Linked DNA regions of Drosophila melanogaster. The protein of the gene in region 2 interacts with the protein of the main gene of each other region in a pairwise test. Each region holds a gene or a part of one and is shown on either strand. Other genes may lie near its edges. The genes, in order: Cph, phol, CG4730 and unpg.

Evidence for each region.
Region 1: the proteins of phol (region 2) and Cph interact in a two-hybrid assay, tested with the Drosophila melanogaster proteins (one large-scale study listed by BioGRID).
Region 3: the proteins of phol (region 2) and CG4730 interact in a two-hybrid assay, tested with the Drosophila melanogaster proteins (one large-scale study listed by BioGRID).
Region 4: the proteins of phol (region 2) and unpg interact in a two-hybrid assay, tested with the Drosophila melanogaster proteins (one large-scale study listed by BioGRID).

Annotation. Positions count from the first base shown.
Region 1 is NC_004354.4:7,224,269-7,229,501, forward strand, and holds the start of Cph (chronophage), read left to right. Parts: upstream 1-2,186; 5' UTR 2,187-2,663; coding exon 2,664-2,718; intron 2,719-5,233.
Region 2 is NT_037436.4:9,452,256-9,458,395, reverse strand, and holds phol (pleiohomeotic like), read left to right. Parts: upstream 1-2,114; 5' UTR 2,115-2,658; intron 2,659-2,753; 5' UTR 2,754-2,856; coding exon 2,857-4,866; 3' UTR 4,867-5,593; downstream 5,594-6,140. Other genes in the region: CG3552 (uncharacterized protein), read right to left, coding at 39-407; CG3437 (uncharacterized protein), read left to right, coding at 747-802, 861-1,034, 1,094-1,630, 1,716-1,998; ghi (ghiberti), read right to left, coding at 5,953-6,098.
Region 3 is NT_033777.3:25,676,260-25,680,416, reverse strand, and holds CG4730 (uncharacterized protein), read left to right. Parts: upstream 1-1,734; 5' UTR 1,735-1,821; exon of another isoform or gene 1,822-1,832; intron 1,833-1,869; exon of another isoform or gene 1,870-1,879; coding exon 1,880-2,889; intron 2,890-2,950; coding exon 2,951-3,119; 3' UTR 3,120-3,345; downstream 3,346-4,157. Other genes in the region: CG4743 (uncharacterized protein), read left to right, coding at 1-26, 79-345, 409-824, 937-1,051; CG5039 (uncharacterized protein), read right to left, coding at 1,177-1,203, 1,259-1,444, 1,518-1,640; Lgr3 (Leucine-rich repeat-containing G protein-coupled receptor 3), read right to left, coding at 3,387-3,913, 3,973-4,157.
Region 4 is NT_033778.4:9,193,172-9,200,773, reverse strand, and holds unpg (unplugged), read right to left. Parts: upstream 5,570-7,602; 5' UTR 5,441-5,569; coding exon 4,606-5,440; intron 1,692-4,605; coding exon 1,441-1,691; intron 1,379-1,440; coding exon 1,007-1,378; 3' UTR 904-1,006; downstream 1-903. UniProt on the Drosophila melanogaster protein: Plays a regulatory role in neural branching of the tracheae: segment-specific aspects of these neural branching patterns appear to be generated by homeotic regulation of expression. May have a role with oc/otd in the postembryonic development of the brain.

The DNA.
Region 1 (5,233 bases), on a different chromosome or scaffold from region 2:
AGAACAAAAAATGCCGTTACACACACACACGACGCACACAGTGAGGCTACCTGGACTCGGGCAGGACTCACAGAATTCGCAACTCTCCGCAGATCCTTAGGGGGTTGCAAAACAGAACGGTTGGGAAAAAAAAATCACACTACCCCGGGACAAAGGAAATCGAAAGAAACACAAAAGGAAACTTTGAGGAAAGCAGGCGGCGATCGGTAAAAATTGCATAAAAAATAATTGCAAGGCGACAGGACGCGGGCTGGATGTCCTGTGCCTGGATGTCCTCCCCTCCGCCCCTTTTGCGTTTGATTAAAGCGCACAAAGGACAGGGACCAGTTTTTTTTTTTTGTTGTTTTGCCTTCTTCTTAGCGTTCCAGGACATTAGCAGCATCCTTTTACAAGGCAGCTCGCATCTGCGCAAGCGCCGCCGCGTCTTAGTCCTGCCGAGGGGTAAATCAAAAGCGCGCGCAAAAAAACCAGGGTTCGTTATGCCCGTGGTATGGTTTAGTAAAAAACATAAAAAAAAACAAAAAACAACACACATGAGGAACAAAAAAATTCGTTTACCCTCGTGACAATGGGAAAGGATTAACCAACGAGGCAGAAGAAGAGAATCTTAGAGAATGTTACGCATCCGCCTGTCCATCTCCATCTCCATCTTCATCTCCTTCCCCGAATCCCGTCTATTATTAGATATATGTATTCAGGGGGAAGGGGGGTTCTGAGATCGGGGCTGGTCGCCACACTTATTGCGCAGCTTCCGCGATCTGAACTCCAGAGAGAACTGCGCACATCCCATGCTGGGATAAACGATGCCGAGATTTGGAGAAAGAGAGAGAGAGAGAGAGAGAGAGAGAGAGAGTTCAAGGAACTCCGACGTTTCCAGGATCTGTGGAGCATTGTCTCCATAAATAGCTCACTCAACTAAAACGGAACTCGAGCATTCCCCTTGCTACACCAATGTCCCTCCTGCTTTATGAACGAACTAAATCTGATCCCCTTGCTAAACTCGATATCCAAGAACTAGAAACTATCTAAAACTAACAACTTCATAGTATGGTATTACAGAACTCTATATGCCCACTAAACTAATTTCAAACACTTCGTACTGATTTTAACAGCGGACGAGTATCTTAATCAAGAATAGCCAATAAGAAGTAATTATTCTTTCGAGATACGAAAATTATTTCTAGGCTTGACTTCAAAATAACAAACCTAATCCATATCTTTGGCTTGTCATAACCTTTTATGACCTCTACGGACTAGGATATTATTGCATTTATTCATTTAATTAGCCTAAAGAATTACTTTTTCGAATTCGAACATAATTGGTAGATTTTCAGAAAAGTAATATGAATATACAAAAAATTTCCTGGTGTTTTTGAAAGAGTGTTTAGTTAAGCCTAAAATACTTCAACTTTTATCAATATGTTATAATTGAACTTTAAATTATGATTTTATTGTGGCACTTCTAAGGCCTATCTTTAGTTAGGATCCCAAGTGCGACCCTGTCATTGGTCAGTTATTCGCTGCCCGACAACCCGTTCGCTCTATCAACACCCTTACTGCTGCTCCCCCTGTTCCAATCTTTATGCTCATGACATAGTTATAGTTACACTCCCTCGCCGGCGTTTTAACCCTCTGCTGTGCGTAACAGCTCAATTTGGGCAGCGATTAGCGGCGGACAGTCGATAGTTTTCCTTTATCCATGTGAGTAGACAGATTTTTCCTTTAGAAGGTATGGGGGGGGGGGGGTTACGGGGGAGCAGTCGTAGTCGCCGTCGCTGCCTCGGTCGGCGTAGACGCTGGCATCAACGGACAGTAGTCGTCCAGAGATGAATTCATCCCCCTATTTCCCATATATTTTGCCTTTGGTCCACTCGCAACTCGAACATGTGCGAGGGAGAGGTACAGAGGGCATGAGTGAGAGAGGGAGAGAGGGAGACGGGCCAGCAACCCCTGCACGCGCGTGTGTGTGTGTAGTGGTGACTACACACGTTTTTTTTCCTATATGGTTTTTTTTTTTTAGCCCCGACCCTCGAGGGTCAAAGGGAATGAAGAGCGGTGTGTGTGCGCTGTGTGTGAGTAAAAAACGCTGTCTCTGCCGACGTCGACGGCGACGGCACAGCCTCAGCGGCAGGATTGAACGTTCGACGACCGTCGACCCTCGAGCGTCCCAGGAAGCCAACTAGTTGTCAGTCCACGTGAAGCCTCCGAGGGGTCAACAACACACTGCTCACGACCTCAAATCAGATTTAGATCCTTCGGCCGACAAACACGTCGATTTACGAAACATTAACTCGCATTCCCCACAATCACTCGAAACGGTTTAACCGATACGCAACCGATACGCAGCCGTTACCGTTACTGTGTTACCGCTTCGTGTCTTGTGAAAGTGCTCATCAAATATAAGAAAAACACAAGAAAAACCAAACATTCTAGGACAACCACACGCAGGACAATTGGATTACCTACGATCGTGTGTGTCTGTCACTACAATCTTTTTGTGCCTTTCACTTTTTTTTTCAATGCCAAAACTATTTTTTTTAAACCAAAAACCACAAAAACAACAATAACTTGTGATGTGTTAAAAGTTTGAAACGTAAAACAAAACAAGATAAAAAACAAAACACAAGACACCACAATATTTTTTTTTTTATACAAAAATCAAGATGTACAACAAAATGCTGTCGATCAGTGAGGATCATGGATTCCGTTCGCTGAGCCGTAAGTTTAAAATTAAAAACAGTAAAAGCTCATTAGTTTAATTTGTGGTATGCCTTGAGTGACCGAACCCTAAAATCGTTGTTATATCATAATCAAGAGCACCCAAAATATTTCCCCAATAAGCAATTGCCCAGAGGCGTGTATCTTGGACGGAGATAACCGCAGCATTTCTTGGAACTTCTCAGAAATTCCTATAACAGCTCTTCCTGTTCTGTTCAGTTTTGCTGCGGTACTTCTTTTTACCATGGTGTTCATGGGTGTCTCTTTAATCATTTGCCGTTGTCGCTCTATGTTGTCCCCCAAATAGATACAAAACAACAAAAAAAAAATAACAACAAAAACCGGGCAAATGTGCGGACAATTTTTGATAAGCGCGCTGTACTGGGAAGAACAACCAGAACAACAATAAGCCAACGCCCGCACCCACACCAGCACACACACCCAGCGGTGTATAGTGTGGGTAAAGAGGGGGCAACCTACTTACCTACCTATATGGATCGCAGCTATATTTACATATGTCCGTCGTGACTGTCGTTGACTTTCGGGAAATAAAACAAACTTCTCTATATCGCCTCTCTGCACCTTGCTCACAATACAAATACAAATATTTTAGCGACAAAAAACGAAAAAAAAAACCGAGCAGGGTAAAAAACAACGACCTGAAAATGAAAAGTAAAACTTACAAGCCACACATATGTCTTATCAAAAGAAGTGAGCAGAGAGCAACAATGGGAACATTTCATTGGCTCTAAGCAAATAGAGCGGGTCTTTTGCCATCGGTCCACCTCAAACTTACATTTCGATTACAAACGGATGTTCAAACAACGCACGACTTCAAAAGACCAATTGGATTTTAGCTAACCGGAAGTACAGTTGCACTTAATCGCTTCTTAGATTCTTAGAATAAAACTAGATAACCTACTCAAACCTGGAATAGTTGAAAGGAAATGAGCTATATTTATAATATATCAATAATACCTTATCTAGTTTGTTAATGTGTGGCATTAACTAGGCTTTAGTTTCCCATAAATAAAAAAAAAATTCAAAGCAAAAACATGAGAAGCTGTTTAAATTTAAACATACTAACTATCATACATTTAAGTTTTCACCTGGCTATATTTAAATATTAATTGCTATATATTTGTATTGCACTTTCGGTTGAATGCTCTTTTATTATTTAATGTTGTTGTGCCCATACCTTGTGCCCATTTCCTTTGGCTTATCAGTCGCCATGTGTGTCCAGCTTTAACACACAGACAGACGCACACGTGGACTATATGTTAATGCCCGATTCCAGGCCGCGACCATATTTGCATATGGCTCATTCACTCAACCTGGCGGGGTAACTGTGGGCTCGTACCGTCCGTTTGTCCGTCCGTCTACGGGTCTGCGGTCTCCGGTTTTACGGTCGGGGTTCCATTCGTTTGCTCATTTGTTTGTCCAGATATCCAGTCGCTTACCTTGCCGCCATATGCGGGTGTTATCAGCAGTCAGCGCTAGCTTTTGGCTAACCGCTTCTTCTCCTCGTTTTTATTTATTTTTTTTTTTTTACCCCAAAACCCCGTGAACCCCGCGAGCCACCATGAAAACGAGCTCTATTGGGGGACAGTAGGCAAATAAAACCAAATTTTGTATGCTAAAACACTTTGCGAAGGCGACCGGTGTGATAAGGCTTCGGGGCTTCGATACTCGTATTTGTTGCGCCCCCGCACAACAGAAATCATTGTAATTTCAGGCGGTACCATATATATGTACATATATAATATAAAACACTATGTGCATGTGTACGATATATCGCGCTCTGTTTGTTATAGTTTCAGCTGCTAAACACCTTTCCACGTATCCGTATCGCTATGTTATCCACACATAATTTGTTTAAACAAATTAAGTCCGGGGGCCGCTCCGACTCCAGTTGATTTTCAGTTTTTCAGCTGCTGACGTCGCTTTGTCACTGTCAGCCAAAAAAAAAAAAAAATAAATAAAATAAAAGAAAAATTCAACCGCCTGTTGGACACAACACTTACATATTTATATATATACTTACTACCACTACGCCCACGCCGACTGTTATCGCCTGCCACAGAATTTTGAATTTGTTTAACCCTTTTTTGTTGTTAAACTTTTAAATGAGTTGGCCAAAAAACAATACAACAAGTCGAAATAACAAAAAAAAAAAAAAGAGCGTTGTCTTTAAATATTTACTCAGCATTTTCGGGGCGTTCGTTATTATTATTTCTACTCTGTTTTTTTATTTAACAACCCGTCAACGAAGTGGAGCACTTGGATAACCATTCAGCTGTCTTTAGTTTTCGATTTTGCAGCATTGAAGGCAAAGTGATTGCAAATGAATGGTGATACATATACATACTGTCTTTTTCCTTGCCATATTCTCTACTTTAATATTAATAACAACTGTGATTGCTTAAAGAGGCGCAAGTTTCGCTGTCTTCCACCATTTTGCCCACAGATAGGATAGTTGGTCCAGTTTTTCGTGGCTGACGCCATTTTTCATCGG
Region 2 (6,140 bases):
CAATAAATATTACTAGAGAACAAGAATATGACACTCACCTCCGCATAGAAGCCCCAGTATCCTGGTATTTTCCGGCTCTGAGGGGATTTCTCCAATTGATATGAAAACAGCCCGGGCACCTTGTGCAGCTGGTCCCATCTCACCTTCATGGCGTTGAGATAGAGCTGCGCCCTCCCCTCCAGACTCGTCTCGTACTTAACCTTGCTCATGGTTCGCCTACGGACCGGTCGCTTTACCTCCTGGTCCTCTTTTTGCCTGCAATCCGCGGATCGGAGGACTACCAGCGGCAGCAGAGTTGCAACCTTCAGCGAAAACCTGTTGCTAAAGCCGGCGGCTATAAAACTGCTGTATTTTTGGGCAACATATCGGTTGAATCGAAAGAAGGCTGCGAAATGCCGCGAAAACATTTCGTTTTGTGCTGGGCAGGGAAAAACAAACTGAAAATTTAGTACAATTTTAAGGCCCAGACAACCTGACAACCCAGACCGCCCAGACAGCTGATTGCTGACTTCAGCGGCGTGGCAAGAGGGTTAAAAAAAAAAACGAGTCAGCGCGTTCGTTTTTATAAATATGGATCCTAATAAAGTCCCAATTTCGGAATTTTATTAGTTAGAAGCTGGCGTACGAGATTTAAGAAGCATATTTTATTTTCTGAACCCCATTAAAAAATTTGAGCTACGCCTTTGATCCAAAAGACCTGCATCCCTGGTTTGTTTGCTGCTGAAATTGGCTGCATTCATCAACAAATGGCCCAAGTTCGAGGATCTTGCGAAAGTTTCTGTCCCGATGGGGAGGCGAAAATGTAGGTAAACGAAATTTAAACCCGAATTTAATATAATAACACCGTTTAATACATTCAGGCGTATTCGCGAGAAGCTTTTGCACTATTTCGAGCTAAAAAATGGCCAGAAGAACAAGCCAGGAGTCCTGGTCAAGGAGTTTACACGCTCCGCCGCCGATGTCAAGATGCCCATGCCCAAGGAAATGCGCACAGAAGCGGCATTGACCAAAACAGTGGAATATCTGCTCAAGGAGCAAGTATATTAGGCGCTTAGTTAGCCAAGTTAAATCTGATAATTAATATACTGTGCAGCATAATCCTGGACACACGAAAGCCGTACAATGTGGCTTACGACTTCATATTCGATCGATTGAGGGCGGTGCGTCGGGAGATCGTGATCCAGATGTACGATGCCAGTCAGAAGATTTGCCTGTTAGAGCCCATTGTGATGTTTCTGGCATATAGTCGCTATCGCTTGTGTGAGGAGCCCATCGAGAAGTTCGATCTCAAGATATGCAATCAGCATTTGCAAGAGTGCCTCACGGGAGTGCTTTGCTGTTACGAAGAACTGGAGGACTTGGAATCATCTAGAGAACCCACCGTTCGTGAGCTTGAGCGGCGCTGCTTCATAGAGAGCCTGTATCAATTGTTTAATCTGGGTTCTCCCGAGTCCTTTACACGCGCCCTCACCTTACCGGACTATGTGCGTCGGGATGCGACGTTTAAGCTTTGTTTTGGGATCTGTTTGGCCTTCCAACAGGGCAATTTGTATAGAGTGCTCATGGGTGTGCCACAATTGCCGCATATTCTGTGCGCGGTAGCTGCCGCCAAGTTGCAGGTGATAAGGAGGTACAGTATAACTTTTTCTATTGGATCTCTTATTGACATGATGCATTTTTAATGTAAATACATATGTATGTATGTATATTTGCAGGAGTTTGTTGCAGATTTTCACGCATGCCTACAACAACAAACAGCTTACGGTGCCGGTTCCTTACTTGTTGCGTTTACTGTTGTTCGATGGGCCAACAGGATTGCAGGACCAATGTCGGCATTATAATATATCCTTAACAGCGGATAGGAAGGCGGTGCAATTTAATAAGACTGATTTTAACCACAATGCAGAGGTATTTACACCCCAACACGAGCGCTTTGTGGAGTCGAAGCTGAAGCGTATTTATATTCCAGAAGTTCTATTGCTAAAGAAATTTAACTAGTTATTTATGAGCAACAATTGTAAATAGCTCGAAATAATAGTAAAGCCATGGAGATTAATTTATTGTTATTGCGCATTTGTTTTCTTGTCGGGTGGCAACCCTGGTGGCAGAACAACAAACCTATCGCTTATCGAAAGACAGAACGCCGCGGTATTTACAGCTAATAAATGGTTTGCCAGTTGGAGGTTAATAAAATGCAATTTTTGAATAGTAGTTAAGATTACATTTGTGCTGTTTTGCGAAGTAATGCGAAGAGAATAACCAATCTCCGCTGAATAAACCGCTTAAGATATACACAAAGCGCGCGCAGGGTTGCATTGTGGCGCCTGTCGCTGCACACTACACACACACACACCCCACACACGCAACGCGAGAGAAAGTACCGAGCCGTTTCTGGAAAATACAATTCCGCCATATTAACCGGCAAAATTCAAAATATTTACACTGCCCGAGGTGAGCGGGATCGAGGTGGTCATCCAAAGCGAGAATTAACCCGCCATTGGGCAGCAGGAGAGTGGCGGGCGGAGCGGAGCGAGCGGTACGCATCATTCGCCGTCTGCCGCCGCCGTCGCACAATAAACGATAGGCATTGGCCACAAAAAAGTGGAAAAAGAGGTGGAGGGAAAGGCCAGTTCAGTGCAGCAATACCGACGAAAACACGTACGTTTGTCCACTTTGGAAGTCTGGCGAATATATAGAGATATATACATAATACGGATTTTTGGCCAGATACTAATTGCCCACTTTTTCCGCAGCGCGCTCGCACACACAACACTAACACTCACGCACGAAGCAAGAGCGCCCACAAATACAAGCATACAGATACAGGCACACAGACAGGCAGACGGAGCAGCCGCGATGACAAGTCATCATCATCACGTCGGCGTCGGAGGGAACTTCCAGCCTCAACTGCATCAGATACGAGCGCCCATCGTGAAGAATCTATCGCTGGCCGCTGCGGCGGTACCGTTGCCCCTGCACTCCGCCCCGTCGTCGGCATACTTCACTCATGCACACCAGCCTACGGCGGCTACCATAGTCGAGCAAGATCCGTACACCGTTTTGGCGGGCGATCCGATGGGCGAGGAAAGCGAGAGCTTCCTGATCGAGGAGATCATCGACGACTATGATGATGAGGCTAATATCGTCGTAGACTCAGGCGAATTCTTTGAGCACTATGAATACTATCCGGTGGATCGGCTGGACAGACTTACCTCGGTCACGGTGGCTACGGCAGATGCACTGCCGCCGCCGATCATCATGCAGCAGACCAGCGACGATGAGGAATTCATCGAGGAGGATGGACAGCAGATGACATCCTCCTGCGATGGCGATGGCGATGAGGATGATGAGGCTACCGCGCCGGCTACGACAAATGCCTTCGAGATTGCCTCCGAGATGCTAACCACCATCGAGGCCACAAACATCAAGGAGGAGCAGCTCGAGAGCGACTTCTATATGAAGGCGACCGAGGATTCAAACAGTTCGAATGGCCAGCTGCAGGATTTTAAGCTATTTGGAAGCAGTCGCGTCGAGAGGCCCATGGGAAATTCAGCGGCCAAGCGCTGGAAGCAAACAAAGGTACCCATACGCATAACGCAGGATGAGTTCAATGTCACCCTTTGGTCCTCGCTCAACTCGGAGGATGAGGACGAGGAGGAGGAGTTGGAGGAACCACCTGGTTGTGCTGGCACCACATCCGTGACGTCCTCCTCCGCCGCCCAGAATGAAGGATCACCCAGCATGCCAAAGCTTATTATTGACGAGCACATGATCAACCACGATGTTTTAAGCGATGGCATCGGCAACGAGTACGTCATCCTACCCGATCCATTCAGCGCCTCTGCGGTCACGGATGTGGAGGAGGTGGTTAATGCATTTATGGGCGATGTCAAAGGCGAGGAGGACAGCCAGCCGCTAAGTGAACAGTTGATCTATGCGGAAAACCAGTTGGAAGAAGCTTATGGTAACATCGAGCTTATCGAGAACATGCCGAATAATGTGGAGCTGATACAGACACCGGGACCAGGTCCAGCCACTGTGTCGGTAGCGCTATCGAAGGTCAACGGATGTGTACCGAATCCACAGCCGGCTCTCCCAAAACTAGTGCTCCAGAACAGCAGCACCAATGTGCGACTGAAAAGTGCGGGAAATCAGTCAAAGGTGACAAAGAGGCAACTCACGGCGGCGGCTCAGGTGGCGACACCAAATCCCCCACCGCCACTAGTGGCTTCCAGCAATCCAGCCCGACCCCAACGACCCACAATTGTAACCAAATTACCGACTGCAGTGGCCAATCAGACGGCTGGTAATGCCATGGGAGCAGCTGGCGCGGCCGGCGAAGAGGATGAGGAGCCAAAGTTTCGCTGCACCCATCGCGGCTGCAACAAGGAGTTTCGCAACCACTCGGCCATGCGCAAGCACATGCACACGCACGGACCGCGCGGTCATGTGTGCAACGTCTGCGGCAAGAGCTTTGTAGAGAGCTCCAAGCTAAAGCGCCACCAGCTGGTGCACACCGGCGAGAAGCCCTTTGAGTGCACCTTTGAGGGGTGCGGCAAGCGCTTCTCGCTGGACTTCAATCTGCGCACCCACGTACGGATACACACTGGCGATAGGCCCTACCACTGTCCCATTGATGGCTGCTCCAAGTGCTTCGCCCAGTCAACGAACCTCAAGTCCCACATGCTGACGCACACGAAGCCCAAAAGGAAGTGGCCGCGCGCACCGCAAGTGAGCAACAACAAGACACCGCTGGTGGCCAGATACGGGCGACTGGAGTTTGGCGAGGATCCTCGTCTAGTGTACGTAGAACAGAACGAGGAGGTGGCGTCGGTGCTGCTGGATGGCACGTCCCTAACATCCTAACTAGTAGTGCGCTTTAATGTGTGGCAGGTATTGGCATGAGATGGTTAAAATATTAAAGCTCCTTTGGCTCCGGAAGGCATTATTGTACAGTTAGTTGTAGCCAGTTTTTATCTGTATCTGTAACCTGTAACGAGCGGAGCGGCCGGACAAGATTGTCACCTGGTGAACACATCCGCCCGCTGCCCGCCCTTTAAGTAAGTAGTGTAAGTTCATTCTCTAACAAAATAGGATTGCAGTGCAAAAGGAAGTTAGATGGTAGCCATTAATTAATTTCCTTCACGGATGAAGAGCAGTTCTAAGAGTTTAGCTTGTACCGTAGGCTAAGTGAGTCCCCCCGCAAAACCAAAACTGAACCGTAATCCCCGAAGAACTCAGCCAAACTGTCACCTTAAAAAGCCCCAATTTGATCTGATACTAATCGTGTGCGATCTTCGCTCGAATAACAAAACGCGCACTTTCTTTTCTACGAAAACAAAACAAACAAAAAAATAAGAAAAATACACAAAACTAGTTTTACCATATTCAATACGCATACACCATAGGCTATCTATATATTTTTGTAATGAATTATAACACTTAGAGCATTGAAGTACGGATTTAGCATGTTCAACGTCTGTTGGCGCTAACAATAATTCACAAATGGAAGCACATCAGTTAAGTCGGAATAAACAAGGGAAATACCTCTTCAAAATTAAACAAAAATAAACCAGGAAAACAATGCAACAACACTTGCGTATATCATTTATCATTTCTTTTTTTAACTATTTCACAGTGCGATTGTGTAAGCGTTAGATTTATTAACTGACTTTAAACTTGTAACTACTGCTAGATAACTACATTAAACGGTGAGGCAGCTATTGATGGACAGTCGCCGGGTGTTGTCCACTTCAGATTCGGATCAGCAAGCGATTAGATCGCCTCTTTGGACATGTGTCGCCTACAGCTACGTTCCATTCATTGATTGCGGTGTATAAACGCGTGCGGATTAGATAAAGCATCGCGGCGAGGTACAGATACGCGGCTATTTTGGATATTGGAACGGAGAACAGTACACACGATTGGTCTGGGCATGGTCTGATCGGTATTTTAGGTGACCTTGAGCCCATGTCCTTGAACTCCGGGAATAATATCCGCGATGGAGGCACTTGTTGGGCCAATCAATCCGGCCAGCGAGAGCAGCACGGAGTAGTTGAAGTACCAGAAAACGCAGAAGAGTACCATGAAAATGACGTCTGCAATGAACCGAGAGCAATAATAACCCTGATAAGCGTATA
Region 3 (4,157 bases), on a different chromosome or scaffold from region 2:
AATTAAAATTTTTCCATGCACTTGTTGTAAGTAGATGAAAATTAAATGAAAAGTTAGTTCTTAAATAATTAGTTTTAGGCAGGAGGAGTGGCTGGAATGGTAGTGGACATAGCGCTGTTTCCCATAGATACAGTGAAGACCCGACTGCAAAGCGAGCTGGGCTTTTGGCGGGCAGGAGGATTCAGGGGCATCTACAAAGGACTCGCTCCTGCGGCTGCAGGAAGTGCTCCCACGGCGGCCCTGTTTTTCTGCACCTACGAGTGCGGAAAGCAGTTCCTTAGTTCGGTCACCCAAACCAAAGATTCACCCTATGTTCACATGGCAGCGGCTTCAGCAGCAGAAGTGGTAGGATTTCATATAAAACTGAGCACCTCGTATTTAGATCTGAAGAATCTCTGTATCCAATAGTTGGCATGCTTGATCCGAGTTCCCGTGGAGATTGCCAAGCAACGCTCCCAAACATTGCAGGGCAACAAACAGTCCGGCCTGCAAATTCTACTGCGTGCCTATCGCACTGAGGGATTGAAACGTGGTCTGTACAGGGGATTTGGTTCCACTATCATGCGGGAGATTCCATTTAGTCTGATACAGTTTCCGCTCTGGGAGTACTTTAAGCTGCAATGGACTCCCCTGACCGGCTTCGATTCCACTCCTTTTTCGGTGGCTCTTTGTGGAGCTGTCGCTGGAGGCATTTCAGCGGGATTAACTACGCCGCTCGATGTGGTCAAAACCCGAATTATGCTGGCTGAAAGGGAGAGTCTCAACCGACGTCGCAGTGCCCGAAGAATTTTGCATGGCATTTACCTGGAGCGAGGCTTCAGCGGGTAATTATTTCCATATTAGACGCAACTCAAGCTGGTCCTAATATTTAAACACAAATTAACTTTACAAAACTATTTATTACATTTATTAATGTACTTCGATGTTACTTTTCAGTCTGTTTGCTGGCTTTGTGCCGCGTGTGCTGTGGATCACACTGGGCGGTGCATTCTTCTTTGGCTTCTACGACCTGACGACGCGAATCCTTGGCGCCACCAGTACGGATCATTAAAATTAGGGTTATTTTCGTTGTACTTGTAGTAGAGGCACGTAGTTTGCAGTAGTAACTAAACCGATGACAACCACCGTTTGAAGACAACGTGGACAATAAAGTGTATGGAAGACTTTTGAGATTCACTAGGCATTGGAGGCGTTATTCGCTCCCTGTGGAAGAAAAAGGGCTGTGATTGTATTGGGACATTGTCACGAGCTCACTGACATCCTGAATGTGGAGGCGACCAGTGAGGAGAGTAGCAGTAGTCCTTTGATCTCCCAGTTCATCTCCGCAGTCCATGGGCACATCGGAATCCTCCTCATCCACATTGATGTATCCACTTCGCGGAGCCTTCCTGCTCTTTAGGCAATCCCAGGAATTCCGACAGCGACTACGTGACATGGCGTAGACCTGTGTACACCCAAATGCATAAATTAAACAAATGTACATCCACTTAAACAAACAGACTGTGGCGATAACGCACCAGTGCAGCCAGAACGAAAATGCCAACGAGCACGGAAATTGGCAGCCATATGTATTGACCGTCGTCCGGATGCAGTATGTCCGGTTCAGGACTAATGGTCGTCTGAGGCTCAAGTAACTTCATCGTTTTCAGGGGATGTACAAAGAAATCACAACAACTACGAAGCAAAAAGTTCTCAAAAATTTCAGCGCTCCCAAGTGCTGCCAGACCTCTCGTGAAATAGGTGGCAACCCTAGCACAGCTATGTTTAGTTTTTCTTCACATTTATGGCTAAGAGCGGGGATTTTCAACTGTAAACAAAGAAGTATTTATTAGGTAATCTGAGTAATCTTTTCAATTTGATCAAAATAAGCTTTGCACAGATGGATCCCCAAACATCAAAAGTATGCCAAACGCTTAATTTTACAATAGCAAGGCGAACTGCAGAAGCTCCCGTGAAGCTTGTATCCCATGAAGTCTCACTTTCAGACAGTACTACTTCTTTGGAGCTGAGCAATTGCTGCCGCTTGTGTTTGGAGGAGCCGTATCCCAACCAAATGCTGGACATGACCGTCATCTATGACCAGGAGGCGGCGCTGAGTTACTACGACTGCTACGAGATCTGCACCAAGGAAGACCTGCGGCAAAATCCCAAAAACGAGCCACGAACCTTGTGCAAACGTTGTGCGGTGGAACTGAAATGGGCCTACGACTTCCACAAGAAAATGGCCATTGCCAATCAGCAGTTGAGGGAGATATTTGTGGCAACCGAAGCCAACACGGAACAGGAAGACGACGTGGAGGATGAGGAGAATGAGGCGGATATGAATGAAGAGTTCCTGATGGAAGAGATTGAGGAGAAGCAGGAAACCCCTATCGACAGCTTAGAGGACATTGTGCCACGCAATCGGCATACGGGAAAATCCAACTGCAAGTTCTGCCACAAGGAGTTCAGGAACCATTCCCGCATGGCCAAGCACCAGATGATTCATTTGGCCAATCGTCCCAACTTTCGTTGCAGCCAGTGCGACCGGGTTTACCTCACAAAGCAGGCGCTGAAAGTTCACGTCGATTCGAAGCACAGGCAGTCTGGAGTCCACTGCGACACATGCGGCAAGGTTTTTGCCATTGCCAAAGCCCTGGAGATTCATAAACGCTATCATAACAGAGACTTTCCCTATTCCTGTGATCTCTGTGATCGTCGTTTCGCACAGCGATCCCATTTGACTGTCCACCAGCAGGTTAAGCACTCTGGATCTCGCTTCATTTGCGAGTTTCCCGGCTGCCAGAAGTCCTTTACCTCATCTTCATCTCTCAGGAATCACGAGTGCACGCATACGGCCATGCCATTTGAGTGCGCCCACTGCCATCAGAGCTATCCAGCTCGTAACAAGTTAGTTATTTTGTTTAAAGTGTACATTATTTGAAAGTAACACTCCTTAATAATTTTTTAGACTACGCATGCACCTGGAGCGTAAGCATAACATGGTGGTGCAGATGGAGGACCTGGAGGAAATGCGAAAGTTTCACATCGTGCGCTCCAAGTTGGTAATGGCAAAGATTTACTCGGACCAGAAAGAATCACACCATGCCAAAAATGATAGCGCTGCTATTTCTAAATAAAAAGTATTTAAAACTATTACCAAAACTTAGATAATAGCTTAATCTTACACTAACTCGCATCCCATTTTAAATTCCGTAAAATTGCCTTACAAATATCACATTCAATTTATTTCACACTTTCATTTGGTTATCTTACACGGACAGGGATAGATATTCACATACATATATAGATTTTCGATATCATAGACAAAATAAATGCTGCTAAATCTGGTGGTATACAAGTTCGATCTGCGCCACAAGAATCCTTCAGTTCGACAGCGTTAGGACCTAATGGCATCTCATCGCGGCTTTGGCAAAGATCGTGAAGTCATCCGGATGCTGAGAGGATCCAGTTGCCGTGCCCGTCGTTGTGGTGGCCACATTTCCATTGCCAGCCTCCGCTCGCTTTCTAGAAGTTATCTTCTTCCAGCCGCGAAGGAAGATTTGATTTCGGTACTTGGGCGTGGTGAAGGTGTACAAGAGAGGATTAACCGCCGAGTTAAGTGGCAGCACAAAGACCACCAACCAGGCGTAGATGTCATCGGAGATATTGTAGTTGAAAAAAACCCAGATCTTCATAACGATGATGGGCACCCAGCACAGGAAGTCGGTCAGCACGATGAAAAAGAATCGCACAGCGAATTCGCAATCCAACAGAGTGAGCGGAGTGGCGCTCCTCGTTCGCCATATCGAAATAAGGAGTGCCGTGTAGAGCATCGCAATCATCACCAGCAGCAGCAGATTGACGCCCAGGAACACGAAAGCCGAGTAAAGCCAGCCCATCGGGAAGGCCTCGTGGATGTGCAATGGAAAGCCTGTTAAGTTTAATTTCGTCACTTGGTAAACTACATTTTATCATAAACATTGTGCTCACAGGTTCCGGAATAGGATCCGTAGTAGGGTAGGGTACTGGTCCGCCACAGGAGCACCGGTGCCACAGCCAAGCCCACGCCCGTAATCCAAATGCAAATCAAAGCCAGCCACATCACCCGATTTCCAATGCTGCGATGGCCGCGAAAGGGATCGGCGATCAAGAGAAACCGCTCCAGCGACATAAAA
Region 4 (7,602 bases), on a different chromosome or scaffold from region 2:
CCAGCTTCCGATTCTTGATGCCAACCAACAATCCAGCAGCCGGCAGCAAATTGCCTGCAAAGTGTTGCAATAATAAAAACCCATGCTTGGAGGCGTGTCCCAACACAAAGCTGCGATACACGACACACGAGGGTGATGCGATACCAAACAGGGCCAGTTCCCAGTTTCCACTTCCCAGTTGCCAGTGCGAGTCCCTTTCCCTGGGGTGGTTTTCCTCCTGTTGGCCTTTCGGCCGGGAACAATTAGGCATTCGGTGGTGAAGAGGGGCGAGTTACAGGGGAGTTGCAATAAACAAGAGAGTCGGGAGGCAGCCAATAAGTCGCTAATGCAATTAAAAACTCACACAAAGCAGAGGGAGCTGCTAATGCTAATAAGTCACGAGGGAAGAGTCCTGCGCCCGGCGCCCGGGATGCCAGTCAGCCCAAAAAGGAGGCGTGACACGTGAAACACCTGGAGTGATTGCTGTTCCCGTCGTCTACCCTCTCTTTCGCTCGCAGGACACTCGGCGATCCTGTATCCTGACGCTCATTTCGTGACAATTTGGTGCGTTAAATTGGAAAAATTAGTCACAGATAAGACGACCCGAACTCGAAGTGAATGCAACGCTCGATTTTCCGACACTCGACTAGACTCGACTCCAAACGGCCACTTTGGGCCGTGCTAAATCGCACAAATTGGCAGTTTAATTGTTCCAATTGACATCGAGGCGAGATTTGTGCCCCGGTTGCCTGGAGTGGCCTCGACTTCCGGCTCCTGGATGGGCGTGTTTCTGGGCCGCCAGGATTTATGTGCCATCATGTGGTGGTCAGTGGCACAAAGCATACATCACATATATGTATGTCTATATGGGTACTCAGATCTGCTAGAAATCCACTAAATGGTTAAAGTAATACAATTCGACTTGAATTTGATTTTTCGTTTGTTTATTTACATAAAGAAAACTCGGCTTGCAGACGAACTGCCTCCATAGGTATGTACACTTGAACGCTTCAGGAGCCCAACTCCATCAATAGATGCTCCTGGCGAGGGAGAGGGGCGTGGATACCCCCAGGCCGACTCCCACGCCAACGCCCACGCCCACGCCCAATCCCACTGGTCCTCCGGATGGCGATGAGGCGTTGGTGGAACCGCTGAACTTCTCGAAGCCTCCGATCGCCTCCGCCGAGAGCTTCTTGCGCAGATCCGGCTTCGGTCCGCTGAGGCACATCTTCTCCAGCTGCTGGTGCTGCGACCGGACGGCGAAGCGGTTCACGTGCACGGGAATGGGCACCACGATCTTGGTGCCACTAGTGGTCCCGTTGCGACCCAGTCCGTGCGAGGTGAGTCCAGCCTTAACCCTTTTCCACTTGGCGCGTCGATTTTGGAACCATATTTTAACCTATTTCAAACGGATTATCATCAGCTTCGGGTGTTTTCCTTTCATTTAACAACTAAACCTACCTGAACTTCGCTTAACTTTAGACTGGTGGCTATTTGACTGCGCTCCGTGAGACTGAGATACTTCTTGGCGTGGAACTCCCGCTCGAGTTCCAGCAGCTGCTCCGAAGTGAAGGCTGTGCGCCGGCGACGGGACTTGGAGTTTGAGCTGGAGCCATTCCCCTGCGAGTCCTTGCCGCCCATTCCACCGCCTTCGTGCCGGGACTGAGCGCCTTCATCATCGCTGCAATCCTCGCTATCCGAATTGGTATAGGCTGAAACAGTAGGAGATATGGCATGAGTTTATGTCAAAAAGGCAATGAATGAACAAGAAGAATCACAATCAGCAATTATCCATAAAATATATAGGTATTCCCAAACTACAACTCATCTGCAAGACATGAGTATAAGAAAGCGATCTACTTTTGGCATCACACGGTATTACAAGGATCGTTACATCTAATCCACAAGCATTCCTACCCCACTTCACCTTTGTCTTATGAAATTACCGTGATCTCAATATAATTTGTTAATGGTTTACAATATTTGTTAAAAATGTTTAAATATTCAAGTAGTAGTACTAAGTAGTAAGTAGTACTAAGTACTAAGCCCAAGTACTATAACCTTGAACAACAAAAATCAAAGGGATCAAATCAAAATCATCCAATCTCTTAAGATTATATGTTTCAACCTATACTTTATGCTTGTTTATTTATCTGCAATCAACCCTATTGTTTAAATAAACAGCATATATTACCTATCAGCAGTAATAGTATTTTGAGCAGGAAAAAGATAAGTTAGACGCAACCACTTTCACTATGTTCACCCCAAACGTTTTCACAAACAACGAATTGCGCGCTAAAAATTTAATTTTCGCGAAAAGTCGCAAATTAACCCTATATGCTCCAAATAGGGAATTAATCACTTTACAACATAGACTCACACAATTACTTAACAAATTTCAACAATTTGTTTAAACTCTATTTAAAGTTGAAATTTCGTTTTGAAAGTTCAAAGAGGACATAACTTTGTAAAAACGCAAATTGTTAGGTTTATACGCACAAATTGAACAACATATTAGTAATATGTATAGTAGTATGTATAGTACATAGTAGACACCTGAAAAATGGCTATTCATTTCAAATTTGATGGGTTTTGGCCTTGAAATTTATCCCAAAAGCGGTTCACATTCCTCAATGTGCAAGCCATTAAAATATGAATTTTATTCCGAATAAATAACAAGAGATATACATTTAACTACATTTTGAACGGATCCATTTAAGAAAATCGAACTTTGAAATGGACTTAACTAAACTTAAAGTGTATCAAGAGTTTAAGTTAAGACCAAACACTGACTTCACTTTTTCTTTGGATTATATTGTTATTTTTCCAAATTCCATTCCCTTTTGTATTGTATCTTTCCTGAGATACTGAGATACATCTTCGGTTGAGTGCAATCCCATCGTTCAGAGTCACTCTAACACATTGTGCCGAGCAATGCCGCCTCGGTCCAGCCCACATCCTGGCTGATTCTGTCCGGACTCAAGACAAGTCGCTTGGAGCAGCCCCATTAATGGGGCCCTAACGAGTTCGGACTTCTGGTGCAAATGGCCCGTGCCACAAATTGTGGCAAACATATTTATTTATAACTGGATACATGTGTCTGAAGGCTGCCCTTCATGCAGAAGGCATGGAATGCTCGAAACATAATCTGCTTGTTTTGGGTGGACTCAAGTTGAGCGTGCCAGCCAAGTGTCAAGTGCCAAGTGCCCGATGAGTCCTCCCAATTCCGCTACAGCTCCCACTCCAGCTTCCACTTCTCTTAATTTTGAGTACATGGTTAAGCGGTTTTTAACACTTACACGCTTCAAAAGTGCCCGCTGTCACTGATTTATCTGCCCATTTGGACGCCTGCCACCCTGTCGCCAGTCACCCACATAGCCACCCCCATGTCAGCCACCCCCACCCACAAAGCACACCATTTGCGCCCACTTGCGCTCAGTTATGAATATATTAGTCGCAAATTTGTTGCGCTCTTTGCTGCTTCGCTGGCAAATTGATTGCGGCACGGATGGCTCAGTTTCCAGTTTCCAGACAGGCAGCGGGGGATCCGGATGATTACGTTGATGGGAGAACGCAGTGCCATTCCATTCGAGTGTCCAAATCGCCAAATCGCTACGATTGTCAAAACGTCAGCATTCCGTTTCCAGTCACTCCGCTTTGTGGCTTTGTGGTCGACGGGACGACGAGTGGCGTTTCTGGATCCCGAAGTCGGAGTTGTGAAAACTTTTCACTCCGTGATTGACACCGAACACTGGGTCTTAATGCACTCTATGCTAATTTGATTATGACGTGGCAGGCTCAATTTAAATTACCGTGACAACGCCGCTCGACAAAATGAGCCACCGCAAAACTGGACACGATTCGAAGGGGTAAATTATGAGTACTAAGCTCAAGAAATATTTGTATTTGCTTTTGATTTTAAAGAGTTTCTCATTTCGCTGAACGCATTTAAGAAGAATGAGGAACACAACAGGACTACATTTGCATATCGCTCTAAATAATATTAAAACATACTTTTTAAACGCAACAACGAATGTTAGCCATCATAAAAAGTGTATATAAATATTTTAATATCATATTATTTAGATAAATCCTAAGGATTGTCGAACGTCTAACCAATTGGCCAATTTGTACCGCAATTTATTTCCTTAACCCTTAATTGGTAATTATTAATTGATAATTAAAACTAACGTAAAGTGATAATTAAAACTAACGTAAGAAATTCGATGCCCAACAAATTTTAGTCGGTGTAATTACTAATCACCAAAGCAAACGAATAAAAGTTTAGCAAGTATTTGAAAAACATACACTCTTTTCAAAGTGATGAGCTATTTAGTGATATCTTAATAAGTTGAGCAAAATTTAACGATATGCATTAAACAATAGCTTTATATTTATGCAAAAATGCTAACTATTACTATTGTGTCTTCTGCAAACTATAAACTTTATAGTATAAAGGACTTAATAGTTGTAACCATGGCTAAAATGGCTGCAAAATGTATCCGTAAATCTTAAAACAATTGCCGACAAGTTCTAAGATAAAGATCAACCAAGAACTATATCGAATTCCCCAAACATCTCATTAGTATAACCACATCCCTGAAAGATTGATTGCATGGTACCCACCTCCATTGCGGCTCTTGTCCATCTCGCCGTTGTAGTTCCTGGGCGACATGGTCAGGCTAATGTCACTGCAGGAGTCGCCGCTGCACTCGAAGTCCTCGTCCATGCCCACATCCAGGGCCGGTTCCATGGGACTGTGGCTGCCGGACTTGGCTGGCGAGGAGTGGGCCTGTGGGGGCGTCGGCTCCTGGAGCTGCGCCATGCCGGGATTCGCTTGATCCTCGTGCATCCTGCCGGCGGCGGCCATGTGCTGCAGTCGAGCGTGGACACTCAGACTGTGCACGTAGTCCTGGTTCATAAGCTCGGCCAATCGCCGGTAGCTGAGATCCGTGGGCGCAACTCCGGCGGCGGCGGGATTGAAGGGCAGGAAACGCGTATCCAGCGGATGCGGCAAGGTGGGTGGAAGCTGTTTCTCCAAGGCATGTGTTGGTGGATGTGGTGGTGGTGGTTGTGGCTGTGCCTGTGCCTGTGGTTGCTGTGCAGCAGGATGACCAGCTGGACTGGAGGGCAGGTAGCAGCCGCCGGCAATTAAATGCGTTAATCTCTCGTGATTCTGAGCGAAGTAGCCGTGCAGCCAGGGATTATAAAGCGGAAACTGGGTGAGTCCCAGGGCCGAACTGGCTACCATGGCGCGGGCACTCAGCTCCTGCTCCTGCTCTGCCTCCTGCTCCTGGTCCCGCTCCTCGGGCGGCGATGGTGGTGTGGCAGTGGCAGGCGTTTGGTTGGCGATCAGACTCTCGATCGAGAAGGGCTTGGGAAAGGGCTTGCTGGCCAGCCTGGTAGTGGGCGATTCCATGGTGCCGATCTCTCCGTTTTGCAGCAAGGCCGGTCGTTCCATATTGCCCACTCAAAAGCACACTTTCAGGGCGATCGAAACTAACTTCTTTCTTCTAATTTCTCAACGCGTTTCTGTTCCCGAGCAGACACGACGCAGTGAACCGTTCAGAGATCTGCGAGCGACTGTCCAAGTGCAGCAGACATCACGTACGCGTACGGCACCCAAGTCGAAGCCCAGAAGCCCAGAGGCGCCGAGCAACCACCACCACGGATGGTCTGGCTCCTCCTCCATTTCAATATGGCGCATGACAAACAGCTGGTGTCTCTGTCTGGCGCGCGCTCCCATTGGCCAGCTGCTAATTGCCGGGTGGTGCGGACAGCGAACCAGTTTCCGGCAATGGAGCAGCACCACTACCACCTCCACCACCGCCCGCGTTCCCGCTCCGTAATTGCGTTCTGCTCGAATCGCTCGGTAATCAGACATCGCCGGACTGGCGAAGAGAACGCCCTGCCATTAATGCCCCATCTTCGCCAGCTCCTTGGCCATTGGGGAGTACTCCCGCCGGCGGAGGACGGAGGATGGAGGATGGTGTTCTCGCGAGGCATATTAGTGACCAATTTAAATTCAAATGTCAGTTGCCAGTGGGTGTGACTGCTGGGCATCATTAGCAGACACTCCAGTGTGCTCAACGATTTGTATCTGCAACTTAGGTGCATATCTATTAGTCTACGGATATCTGGTTTTAATTATCTAAACATACCAGTAAACAGCTCTGTACAACTATTAATTTTAATTGGTGGTGTTTGAGGTATTTAGTTGGTTCTTAAGCGCACTAATATAGATTTTAAGAGAGTTTAATTGAAAGTGACATCCGTAACAGGCAGAATTATTCAAAGGAATACTCGTATTTCTTGGATGGTAGCAATCGCTGATAATTTAATGACCCCTAATTTATTGCAAGGATTAATATTAACAATGATTTTTTGTAGGCCTGATATGCCAAATTAAATATTTTATATAACTCGTTTTAAAGGTAAACAGGCATAAATACCTCCAACAAGTGTTATTACATAGGGTATATATACATACATAGGTTATACAAAAGTACGTTTATAGTATCCACAAAATACAGACAACAATCCATTGCAGTCGTGACCCCCACCGTCCCCAAGAAGCAGATGGATGGGACTACTGTTTCCTACATCCGCTGTGGACAAATCCACATCCGTTCCCTGATTCCTCGATTCCCCCGAAGCACCCACAATTGATATGCCGATCGTTCTTCGCGCAGCAGGTGGCAATAATTTGCATGTGTATGGCTTAATTGATCGTAATTGACCAAATTTTTGGCCATAAGTGACGAGGCGTCCATTGATTGGAGCGCAAATTGGCATTGGTCACGTTTGGGTGTTTGAAATCTTTTACGAGCACCGAACATTGCGAACATTTAACCGATTCCACAGCGGCATAAATTACAATACAATTATGCGGCTCGTTGATAATTTTGGTTTTCTGATTATGATGAAAGCTGTTGGGTTTTGTTCGGCACTTTGGCAGCTTGTCAAGAATCAGCAGGGATGGGCGGGGATGGATCCTTATAGACACTGTCCGCCGAGTGTGGGTAAATATTTCTGGGCAGCTTCCCTTCTTCTGACGGCGGAAAACGGGCAAATTAACGAATTGCAACGAAGCGTTGAATGCGCTCAAATAAATCAGAGCACTGTTGACACCATCATCATTCCTCATCCCCGGATTCGCCAACCCCAGTCCGTGGTACCCCAATCCTTAATGCGCAGTCCCCAATCCCAGTGCCATGTGCAGAGGGCGAAAGATACATCTCTACAGATACTCTCTTTCGTTTGAGCGAGCGCGTTTTTTAGATTTTTTTGATTGCCTGCAGACGGAGAACAATTCGAAATTATTTACTGACAAATCGTTGCGAATTTTTGGCATATTCCTGAAATGCACAGAAATGCGCACACTGCACAAAACGAACACAATTAAAGCTCTAGCCATACGTATAATGAGATACAAAAGTATCTGCAACTAAGTACCTCGAATTGCTCGCTGTCTGCGGTCTCTAAATTATATCGTTCGACTAATGAAATTAAAATTTCATGCCATTCGACGCAATGTGAAGGCGAACATGTGTTCCCGTGACCGCAGAACACGGAGCTACACGGAGCATATAGTCATATAGCTGGAGCTGTCCGATGTTTGCC